Linked DNA regions of Cricetulus griseus. The protein of the gene in region 2 binds, or shares a complex with, the protein of the main gene of each other region. Links are inferred from orthologs where the notes say so. Each region holds a gene or a part of one and is shown on either strand. Other genes may lie near its edges.

The links.
Region 1: Ercc3 (region 2) and Polr2k share a complex: the UniProt entries of both Homo sapiens proteins name them as parts of the TBP-based Pol II pre-initiation complex. The link is inferred for Cricetulus griseus from reciprocal best matches to the Homo sapiens genes ERCC3 and POLR2K.
Region 3: Ercc3 (region 2) and Gtf2a1 share a complex: the UniProt entries of both Homo sapiens proteins name them as parts of the TBP-based Pol II pre-initiation complex. The link is inferred for Cricetulus griseus from reciprocal best matches to the Homo sapiens genes ERCC3 and GTF2A1.

Annotation. Positions count from the first base shown.
Region 1 is NC_048603.1:15,288,247-15,292,540, reverse strand, and holds the start of Polr2k (DNA-directed RNA polymerases I, II, and III subunit RPABC4), read left to right. Parts: upstream 1-1,385; 5' UTR 1,386-1,482; intron 1,483-2,557; 5' UTR 2,558-2,566; coding exon 2,567-2,627; intron 2,628-3,177; coding exon 3,178-3,270; intron 3,271-4,294. UniProt on the Homo sapiens protein: DNA-dependent RNA polymerase catalyzes the transcription of DNA into RNA using the four ribonucleoside triphosphates as substrates.
Region 2 is NC_048595.1:205,095,538-205,099,185, reverse strand, and holds part of Ercc3 (general transcription and DNA repair factor IIH helicase subunit XPB), read left to right. Parts: intron 1-2,025; coding exon 2,026-2,210; intron 2,211-3,648. UniProt on the Homo sapiens protein: ATP-dependent 3'-5' DNA helicase/translocase. Binds dsDNA rather than ssDNA, unzipping it in a translocase rather than classical helicase activity. Component of the general transcription and DNA repair factor IIH (TFIIH) core complex.
Region 3 is NC_048598.1:113,326,855-113,330,502, forward strand, and holds part of Gtf2a1 (transcription initiation factor IIA subunit 1), read left to right. Parts: intron 1-935; exon of another isoform or gene 936-1,078; intron 1,079-1,869; coding exon 1,870-1,937; intron 1,938-3,493; coding exon 3,494-3,569; intron 3,570-3,648. UniProt on the Homo sapiens protein: TFIIA is a component of the transcription machinery of RNA polymerase II and plays an important role in transcriptional activation. TFIIA in a complex with TBP mediates transcriptional activity.

The DNA.
Region 1 (4,294 bases), on a different chromosome or scaffold from region 2:
AGCTCCAGTCCAGGGGCTCCGAGGACCTTTTCAGGTCTCTGCTGGCACTAACACAGACAACTCAAAGTAACAACGAAATCTTAGCCGGGTGGTGGTGGCGCACACCTTTAATCCCAGCACTCAGGAGGCAGAGGCAGGCGGATCTCTGTGAGTTCGAGGCCAGCCTGGTCTCCAGAGTGAGTGCCAGGACAGACTCCAAAGCTACAGAGAAATCCTGTCTCGAAAAAACCAAAAACACAAAACAAAGAAACAACGAAATCTTAAAATCTCAGACGTCTAATGTAAGCCCCCTGGAAGCTCAGGCCTCCAGAATCCTTTCCCAGGACTGCGGCCATCCCAATCATCATGAGGAGTCGGAAACTTGATGCAAACAGCAAGAGGCTTTAATGAAAGGTAGACGTTTGTACGAAGGGGCTCTCTCAGCATGCAGGCTAGAGAGCAGCCCCGTCCCCCAGGCACAGGCCTTTTTAAAGGCAAAAACCACAAGCTTAGGGAGGGGTGTGACCAGAGTCACAGGTGCCTAAGAGACCCTTTGTCTTGAGGAGAGGGCTGGGAATCAGATGGCCTCCTGACCCACCAGCTGTAAAACCTGCAGACCTCAGGATATGCTTAGCTTGCTTGAGCAAATGGTACCTATCTCTTTGTTTCACAGGGACACTTAATTGTTAATGATTGACACATTGGCCGGTGGGGCAATCTGTTTTTTTCATGAGCCCCTCGGGGAGGGTGGCCATCTGGGAATTCTTGGTACCCAGTTATATTATGGCCTTGTAAGGGAGTAATTGCTTGCGGCTGGTAAATTCCAGGCCCTAAGTCCTAATAGTGGCCTTAGTTTCCGAGTTAGGCCGCCCTACATTCAGTTTGGAGAGTTTCCTTATCTGGGCTATATTTCTTTGCTAATTTTTAAGTCTTTCACTAGCAAGTGAGAAGCCACACCACCCTTTCTCTACAGCCGGGGCTTAGCCCGGCAGACACACCTGACCGCCCTAGGATTGGGGAGACTTTGTAGCGTGGCTGAGGGCGAGCGTTTAACAGGCTGCTGGGCTGTGTGCGGAGGAAGCAGCTCAAGCGACCGTTTTCCTGAAGATTCACCCCTGCGAGCCACCGAGCTAAGCCAACGGTCCTGAAAAAAAGTATTTTTAATTGACATCTCCGGGGCCTGGGGGAGAGCCGCGCGCTGAAGGGCAGCCAAACAAAAGAGAACCCTGTGCAAACGGCGACGAGCAAATGGCGACGAGCAAATGGCGACGAGCCCGAGTCTCGAACCCGCGACCGCCGCCGGAGCGAGAGCTGCTTTCGGCTTCCGCCGTCGCCTGTGCCCAGCCCGGGCTCTCGGCGGCGGAGGGGACGGGGCGGGGGCGGGGCTCCTGCGCGTCATTAGGCAGCGCCGGAAGCGCGCGGTCCGCGCCGGTAGTGAGTCCGTCACTGAGGACGCGGGGGAACGTTTGTGTGCGTACCGAGACTCTGCTTGGAGCCGCGGAGGTGAGAGATCGGTCTGAGGGCAAAAAAACTGGCTTTAGAAGGTTTTAGAAAGTTCCCGGGTGCCCGGGAGAGCTGGCTCCACGCCGCCTGGGCGCTCGGGAAACGGAGGCAGGGGACTGCCGCCTTCAGCAGACGGACGCCCGGGCTTTGGGGTTGGCTTGGGCGATGAAGTGAGTTCCGGGCCAGCCTGGGCTACCAAGTGGGGAGCCTCTCAAAGAGCCAAATAAACGTAAATAAATGGTCGGTGACTGGGCTGGAGGGGCGGCTCAGAGGTTAAGAGCGCCGATTGCTCCTCCAGAGGTCCCGGGTTCAATTCCCAGCACCCACATGGCAGCTCACAGCTGTCTGCAACTCCAGTTCCAGGGGACCTGACACCCTCACACCAACGCACATAAAATAAAATAAATTTAAAAAATGATTTATGACAAGATCCCCGGCGGAGTTAGCGGATTTTTGTGGGTTTTTTTTTTTTTTAGTTTATTTGTTGTTTGGTTTTTCGAGACAGGGTTTCTAAGTTTATTTTTATTTTTTGTGCATTGGGTATTTTGCATGGATGTCAGCTGGGTGCCCTGGAACTGGGGTTGCACACAGTTGTGAGCTGCTATGTGTGTGCTGGGAATTGAACTCAGGAGGAGCAACCGGTGCTCTTAACCTCTGAGCCATCTCTCCAGCCCCCCCCCCCTTTGCTTCTTAGTGTCGGGAGACGCTGGGCACACAGAGAGCTGTGCTTAGCCTCGGTTTCCCCGAGTGTAAAGAGTGATGCCCTCTGGCACCTTCAAGAGTGTCGTAGACCTTCGAGATGGATTCTGTGTTGTTGAGAATGTGTTTCCTCCTTCAGACCCAGCCCACAGTTGGTGGGGAAGGGGGGGTTTCAAATAAGGAATTATGATTTTTTTCCCCCTCATTCTGTAATACTGGGGTTTGATCCTCGAGCCGCTGTGTTCTGGGCAAACATTCTACACCTGAGATTTTCTCTTCACCCCGGAATCAGGACCTTGCGTAGCTGCTGGGGAAAAGGGAGCCTGGTTGGTTTTGTGTGATGATCTTGTTATTCAAGCTTTGGCTCTGATTTCAGGCACTAGCAATGGACGCGCAGAAAGACGTCCAACCCCCAAAGCAGCAGCCGATGATATATATTTGCGGAGGTAAGATTAACATTTAAGTAGGAACGTTTTTTGTTGTTGTTTTGGTTTTTTGGTTTGTTTGGCTTTTTTTTTTTTTTGCTTTTGTTTTGTTTTTTTGAAACAGGGTTTTTCTGTGGCTTTGGAGCCTATCCTGGAACTCACTCTGTACACCAGGCTGGTCTCCAACTCACAGAGATCCCCCTGCCTCTGCCTCCCTAGTGCTGGGATTAAAGGTATGTGCCACCAATGCCCTGCTTAAGTAGGAACATTTTACCTCAACTTTCCATATATGAGTACTGATCTTCAAAGTTATAAAGCGGAGCACTCAGGAGGCAGAGGCAGGGGGATCTCTGCGAGTTCAAGTGAAACACTTTAGCATCATTAATGTAAAAGTCCCTCGTTAAGATTTGTCTTTTCATCAGGAAAAGGTACGCTGCCGACAGCTCTTTTCTTTCCTCCTTGGTGTATTTAGTTTCGGGGCTTTGACTTGCTCTGGCGAAGTCTGTGGTTATATTTGGTTCCCTGTAGTGTTTCTCTTTCAGGCATTGACTGAACGTGTTTTATTCCCTAGAGTGTCACACGGAAAATGAAATAAAGTCCAGGGATCCAATCAGATGCAGAGAATGTGGATACAGAATAATGTACAAGAAAAGGACAAAAAGATGTATCCTTCTGACTGGGCTTTCTAAACGTAAAGAGGAATAACTAATACTCGGTTGATAAAGACCAAGTTCTGACAAAAGTAGCAACTTTTGGGTTGTTTATTTTTCTAAGCAGATTGAATGTGACTTTATTAATGAAGAGTTTATTAACTGAGAATGTGGGGGGCTCTGAAGGACGTAAATGTATATTATTTTAATATGAATTATTTTTCACCAAACTTGGAGAAAAGAGGCAGGCAGAGCTTTGTGAGTTCAAGGCCAGCTAGAACTACTAAGTGAGACTCAGTGTCAAAAAAAACAAATAGGGGCTAGAGAGACTCGTCAGCAGGCAGGTAAGGGCATCGGCTGTTCTTCCAGAGGACCTGTGTTCTGTTTCTAGCACCAACATAATTACTCATGATCCTCTGTAACTCCAGTTTCGGGGGTCTGATCCCTTTTTCCGACCTCCACCTGTACAAAGGACCCAAGTGTGTGTGTGTGTGTGTGTGTGTGTTTAAAAAACCCTGTAAGTGATTTTAGCTTTTATTTTACTTTTTTTTTTTTAGTTCAAATTAGAAACAAGCCTACTTCGATTGTCAATCCCTGCTCCCTCCTCTCTCTAGCCCTTCACCAACTCACCACATCATCCCCCCCTCTGCTCCCCAGGGAGGGTAAGGCCCTCCATGAGGTATCCCCAAAGTCTGTCATATCGTTTGGGATAGGGCCTAGACCCTCCCCCATGTGTCCAGGCTGAGAGAGCATCCCTCCACGTGGGATGGGCTCCCAAAGTCCTTTTGTACACCAGCTCTTTTTTTTTTAAGTAAACATGATTAGTGTTTTCGTGCCATTCATTATGGGCTCTAAGTAATTAAAAAATTAATCAATTTGGGTTTATGTAAATGTTTTTAGTTTTTTCAGGAATTCTTTGTTAGAAGTAGTCACTCTTGATTGTTAGCTTATGGGTAATCTAAAGTATGGGAGGAGAAATTAATAACCTAGTGGAAAATAGGCCTACAAATTAGTCCAAATACTGAAATTGTTTCAGTG
Region 2 (3,648 bases):
AGCTGGGGCTACACAGAGAAACCTTGTTCATATGAGTTCATATGTTGGAGGTCATTCTGAAAGATGGTAATAAAACATACAGCACACAGAAGGGAATCCCACATCACATGTCTGTAGGGGTGGGGATACTGACGATTGTAGCCAGGGTTTCATGTATGTGAAGTGTATGCTCTTCCACTGAGCTACACCTCCAACTCCAACTCTTATTTTTTCCTCCTTTGGAAAGACAGGCAAGCCAGGTTTTATTGAGAAGTAGGGTAACAGCTCCCTGTGGGTGTGGGGAATAGGCTATCTTCAAAATGTGTGGCCCAACCCAAAACACTTAAAAATTTTATATTTATTTTCGGGGAGGGCATGTGTATGTCACATCAAGGGCATGGTGGTCCATAGGAGTTGGTTCTCTCCTTCTACCACATGGATCCCAGACTTTGAATTCAGGTCATCAGACCTGGCAGCAAGTATCTTTACCTGCTGAGCCATCTCATTGTTCTCTCAACTTAAAACATCTTAATCTTCTTCCAAAGTGTTAAAAGTTTTAAGATCTATGGCCATGGAAACCTACAAATTGGAGGATCAGAGTTCAAGTCCCAAGAACCCACATAAAAGCTGGATGTGCTAGGGTGTCCTGACCTGTTAGGACATCAACCTGGGGCAAGAGAGTCAGGGATAGGGAATGGGGACAAGAGACGCAGAAAGAACGACCACAAGACAGGATTCTGATCAAGTGGCAAACTTTACTTTTCTCAGGCTAGGTAATATAGTCGGCAGAGCAGGATATGGGGAGGGGTAGAATAGGTTGTTTGTGAGCCAGGTGTTAGTGTAGGCAGGATATTAGGAAGCCACAAAGAGGATGTTTGGCAGGATAAAGAGTTTATGAGTAAGAGGTCCAGGAAGGGTTGTCTAGGTGACTGAGCCTGTGGGTGGAGGACTGGGTCAAGTTGTTTCTTTTCTTGAGCTGAGGTTCTAAGGAGCTGCTATGTAAAGGTTAACTATGTGGCCTGCCAAGCATGGCCTAGGATCTCATGCCCAGCCCCGAGATTTGGCTCCCAACACTAGGGTATATCTGTAACCCTAGCACTCTGGTCCTATGGAAGATGGGAGTGGCTTCTGCTACTCATCTAGACTGGCATGTGTAGCAGTGTATCACAAATGACGCTGTCTCAAACAAGATGGAAGATGAAGAAGGATACCTGCGGTTGTCTTCTAATGTCCACACGTGATGTAGCATGTGGGTGCTTGCATTCACACACACACAAGCATACCCACGCAAGATTTTTAAAAAGTTGTTTCCCATTTATGTGTTTATTTGATGAAATCAGGAGTTATAATAATCAAAGCAAAGGAAGAAAATAAAAGTTGCTTGTTGACGAAAATAAGTCTCATTGGTATTGTTGTGTGTTTGTTTTGTTTTGTTGGGACAGGGTCTCACTTTGTATTCCTGGTTGTCCTGGAACTAACTATATAGGATAGGCTAGTCTCGAACTCCCAACAGTCCTCCTGCCTCTGCTTCCAGAGTGCTGAGATTAAAGGCATGCACTTCCATGCTTGATGTAATTGGTATCTTTAGGAGGGGAACAGGTAAGCAGGATGCTTAGGCGAACTGGAGGCTTCGCTTCGTCACTGTCATGAGCTCTGTTTGCTCTTTGGTTTGAGGGGGGATGGTAAGAAGCAGAGCAGAGCTGGCTGTCTCTCTCCCAGCTTCAGGATGAATGATTTGTGTGGCTTGGAGTCAAGTCATACTTCCTGCTGTTGTCTGGACTCCTGACAGTGTTGGTAGGAGAGTGCTGGAATTTGTGAACTTGGAACTCCTTGAAGTCATTTGTCCCTTGTTCTTTCTGTCTCTTGAACAGGTCTAAAAGACATGATGAAATACTCTTACTTTGTTTTTGTCTGGAACCAGACTTCAGCTCTCTAGTCCCAAGGTCTACACATACAGTGCCACAGACCAGTGCCAAGTGTCAAGCTGTGTGTGGTACCTTTTCAGTGTAGAAAATGCTGATATGAATGTTCCCTTTGTTTCCCCAGCCAAGATGTTCCGACGGGTGCTGACCATTGTGCAGGCCCACTGTAAGCTGGGTTTGACTGCAACCCTTGTTCGGGAAGATGACAAAATTGTTGACTTAAATTTCCTGATTGGGCCCAAGCTTTATGAAGCCAACTGGATGGAGCTGCAGAACAATGGGTACATTGCCAAAGTCCAGTGTGCCGAGGTATTTGCACCCCTGGGTGGTATGTGAAGAAAGGACTCCTCCCATGGGAGTGGAAGGGATCTGTTGATAAATTCCTCGTGGGCAGACAAGCAGGACAGGACCAAGTCTAAATGAGCATGCATACCATAGTCACCTTGAGAGGTGAGCCATACCTCACTGCAGAGTGCAGTGGAATCCTGTCTCTGCCATGTGGTAAAGTCAGTAAGCCCAGTACAGACCATGCCTCACTCACTCACTCCTTGCTCTCCTGTGATGGGCTTCTAGGTACTCTGTTCATGCTCACCCTGAAGGATTGCTGCAATGGCCTATGTGGGCATCCACTTAAACTAATAACAGTGCCAAAGCCCTAAGAAAATAGATTGGTCCTTATGGTGTTATTTCTGAGAACACATTTTTCTAATGCTGTTTTCTAGTGAATACCCGCACAGATATGTGTTAAAATCCATAGTCAAAGCTAAGTCTTTGAATGAATGACAAAACCATCCATTTTAGCACTTAATATGGCTGCCACTCAATAGCTACAGTAGGTGGCCTCTGAAAGGACAGGAAGGGACTCATGAGTGTGAGAAACTTGTAACTGGTATGGAACTTGTGTTATACTTGTCAAGCACTCTACCCACTGAGCCATCCTGCCAGCCCTGCGTATTTTCTTGATCATGCATGTAATTGTAGTTCATTCCTTTGAATTACTGTGTAGTAGTCTTTCATACGCTGTATCCCAACTTGATATATAACTAAATACTACCTAGCAATAGAAAACCCTTTTTAATATTGACTGACATTTTGTTTACTAAATTGTTTTTATAAGGGTTTTATTACTTGTTCAGTGATAAAACTCTTGCCTAGTATGTGTGAGAGAGACTCTGGGTTCATCTCCCACACATACACAAAGAAATAAATAAGCAAACATTTATTAGAGATAATTTATGAGTGAGGATTGGGGTTCAGGGAACAGGGAGAAATGAAAGCCCCAACACCATTATGCTGCATAGTAACAGAGGGCTCTATACTCCCCCGACAGTCTGATGTGCTGCTGGCCGTCCAAGAAGGCAAGAGGAGCAGTACTGATTTGTGTGTGGTGATGTAGTCTAAGTGGAGGGGTTTCTGGTTTCTCACACTAGCAGCTCCATGAAAATAATTCCCTAAATATGACTGTATTTGAAAATCTCTGATTAAGTTAGTAACCGTTACATTTTGAGTATTAATTTTTCTTTTTAAATGTATTTTGTTTGTATAAGTGTTTGCCTGCTTGTATATCTGTATACCACATGCATGCAGTGCCCTTGGAGGCCCAAAGCGGGCATTGGATCCCCAAGAGACTAAAATTAGACAGTTGTTAGCTGCGATGTGGGTGCTAGGAATCAAATTTAGGTCCTCTTGAAGAGCAATTAGTAATCTTAACTACTCAGCCATCTCTCAGCCACTATTTTATTTTAAA
Region 3 (3,648 bases), on a different chromosome or scaffold from region 2:
TACTTAGATGAATCTTGACTGGAAAGGAAACAGGATAAATGAAAGCTTAGTTTAAGGTATCACTGTTAGGTAACTCATTTGCTTCATCTCAGTATGTGAAATACAGAATGAATACGTAGTAGAACAGCCTATATGATTTGGCTTAATGTTTATAGGTTTTGAATATCTTTTTTTTTTTTTTTTTTTTTTTTTTTTTTTTTTTTTAGAATTAATTTAGTGTTTGTGAGGGAGTGGGAAACCATGGTACACATGTGGAAGTCAGAGGACAACTGGCAGGAGTCTGTTCTCTCCTTCTACCGTGTGGGTTCCAAGTATGGAACTCTTGTCTTTAGGCTTGGGGGCAAGTGACTTTGCCTGCTGAGCCATCTCTCCAACTCTTTTTATTTTTTTAAATTTAATTTTTACAAAATTATAATTTCACTTGTCAATCCCTTCTCCCTCTCCCTTCCCTCCCCCCAACCCCTCACCAGTCCCCTCCTTGCTCCCCCCTCTGCTCCCCATGGAGGGTAGGGCCCTCCACTTGGGGCTCCCCAGATTCCACAACATCATCCTGGGCCGGGCCTAGGCCCTCCCCCATGTGTCTAGTCCAAGAGAGCATCCCTTCACGTGGGATGGGTTCTCAAAGTCCCTTCTTACACCAGGGAAAAATACTGATCCACTACCAGAGGCCCCATAGAGTACCGAGGTATCCTCATTGACATCAAGTTTCAGGGTTTTGGATCAGTCCTGTGATGGCCTCCCAGACAGTAGTCTGGGATCCATGTGCTCCCTCTTGTTCAGGCCAGCTGTTTCTGTGGGATTCACCAGCCTGGTCCTGACCCCTTTACTCATCATTCCTCCCTCTCTGCAACTGGGTTCCAGAGTTCAGTTCAGTGTATAGTTGTCTCACCAACTCTTAATACCTATGCTAAGTCTGTACCACATAATCACATCCTTGATGACTGTTCCTCCTATTGCCTTTAGGCATGGCACTAGGATTTTAGGTCATCATAAATTAAAATTGATTTTTTTCACTCAGAGGATATCAAGGTAATGGGATTACCTGTGTATTCTCTGAAATTTGCGGGATCAAACAACTCTATTCTTTGACTGACATTGACATTGTTTCTGAATTGTGTGTGTGATGCCTGTGTGTGCACACACAGATGTAGTTGCTCACATACTATGGTGCATTCATGGAAGTCAGAGGACAACTTCCGGTGTTGATCCTTCTTTCCATTTGTTTGAGACAGGGTCTCTGTTGCTTTTCCTCTACTATATACACCTAGCTAGCTGTTCTGCTGTCTCATTGTCCTTGTAGCTCCCCATATGCTGTCCAGAGCATTGGTGCTATAGTGCCCTTGCTGTGTGGCTGTCTGGCTTTTACCTGCGTTCTGGGGATTCAGACTCAGGTCCCCATGCTTGTACAGCAAGCACTTACACCCATTGATTTCTATTTTTTAAATAGCTAATTAAAGTGCCACGATTGTGGTAGCTGTCAAGTTGGTCAAAGGATGTTGTAGGGTTTTTTTTGTTTGTTTTTAGACAGTGTCTCACTAGGAAGATCACGCTGGCCTTGAACTCAGAGATGCACCTACCTATTTCCTGAGTGTGTTAGAATTAAAGGCATGTACTACCATGCCTGGCCTAGGTATTGTCATTTTAATGTTTTTCAATATAAAATGAATATATCTCAGCTGTTGATTTCCATAGAAAAATTTAAAAACTTCTGAAATAGAAAATAGTCTGAGAGTATTTTAATGTAGAAACACAACAGAAGCATGAAAAAAGTAAAAAGTGTTTGGCATTTTATAGTATTACTGTGACTGTGAAGTGTCCTCATGGTTCCTTGTTTACAAATATCTTTTTTTTTTCTTTGTCTATTTGTAGCTACGGCACCACAAGTTATTGTTCCTGATTCTAAGTTGATACAACATATGAATGCATCAAGTATTACGGTAAGACTTGAACATGACACTTACATTGGCTTCAGTTATTTAACTTAAAAATTGCAATTATTCCTATGTGTATTGTATTTAACAGTTTGAGGATTATGGAAGATTTGAGCAAAATAGCTGTTAGCCACAAATCTAAAGTGTAGCTTAATCTTAAACATTAAAGTTCATACAATTATGTAATTTTTTCCTTAATACCAAATACTCTTTGTGGTCAATACTTTATAGCTGTAGGGAATCAGCCAAGCATATACTGACACCTTCTGTTTCAGAAAGTTAGTTAGTTGTAAGAGGAGGGGAATGCTAACAATCCAGGAAAGCCATTTTTTTTTTAAATTTTATTAGTTATTTGAAAATTTCATATGTATTTTATTTATATTCACCCCCCTACTCCAACTCTTCCCAGATCCACCCCTTATCTTTTACCTGCCAACCCAAGTTTGTGTCTTCTGTTTTGTTTCTCTAAACCATCAAATCCAGCTGTGTTGCCCATGCACACACAGCATGTGGCTTTTCAAGGACACTGTTTCTAAAGTTTCATGTTTAAAAGAATCTTTGCTCTGACTTAAACATAATGCACAGTTTGTTTTCCTGTAATCTCTAAATTCATACCTTAAAATGCAAAACAAGACTAAGCAGGTTGGTATGCACTTGTGATCCCCAGTACTCAGGAGACAGAGGCAGGAGACTGACTTGATGTTGAAGACCAGCCTGTCTGGGCAGTAAGTTACAGACTAGAGAGACATACAGACATACAAGACTGCACTCAGAAAAAGAAAAGAAAAAGCCGACGAGTTACTAAAATGCGAAATTATATCCAGGATTTGTATCAATGTATGCAGGAAAAATACCATCAATAGACCTTTGGGTTCACATATACAAGGTAGAGAGTGTGTGTGTGTGCGAGTGCGCATGCACGCATATACACACAAGTATTTTAAATCCGGGGAAAATATCTGATGTTTGAGATAGTTCTGAAACTTTTGGATAAGAAACACTCATCTCATTACATATTTTACCTAGATTGTTGTGTCAGTGTGTTCATGCTCCTTTTAGATAATGTGGCATCTTAGAAAAATTGCCAGTTATAGAAACCAAGGAATTCTTCAGATTGTCTTTTAGGGGGAGACCTGTTGATTTTGGGAGAAATGTAAAAATGAAGAAACAAGGATGGCTTGACTTTGGCCTTAAGTATATTATTGAAGCAGGAAATTGGGTGTAAGGAACCAAACAGTGGAAGGATGGCAGTCATGGAATGGTGTCCTCACGGTACAACTTTACTGTGAGTGCATGTATTTCTAAAAACATACTGAGTCTGTGAGAGCTTGAATCAGGAGGTTGCTTAGAGTAAGTTCTTTAGGGGAGCCAGACCATTAGACTTACAATTTCTTGAAAGACTTGAATAGGTTATTTAGGCTCTCTTGCCACATGAGCGCACCCTGTTGTTCGAGTGCCTTTCAGTCAGTTCTCCATGCGCTGTAAAGTACACTACAGATAAACTGAGGTCTACTTGGCGCGCACTCGTAGATACGACTTTCCCTTTGTTTTTCTTCTTGCAGAGTGCTGCTGCTACGGCTGCCACCTTGGCCCTCCCTGCAGGCGTGACTCCCGTTCAGCAGATACTAACAAATTCAGGTAATCAGAACAAGGAAAGCGGCTTAAATATTGTTCAGAAACTAACACCAAGTAGCTCTTAATGTTTTATTGTCACTGA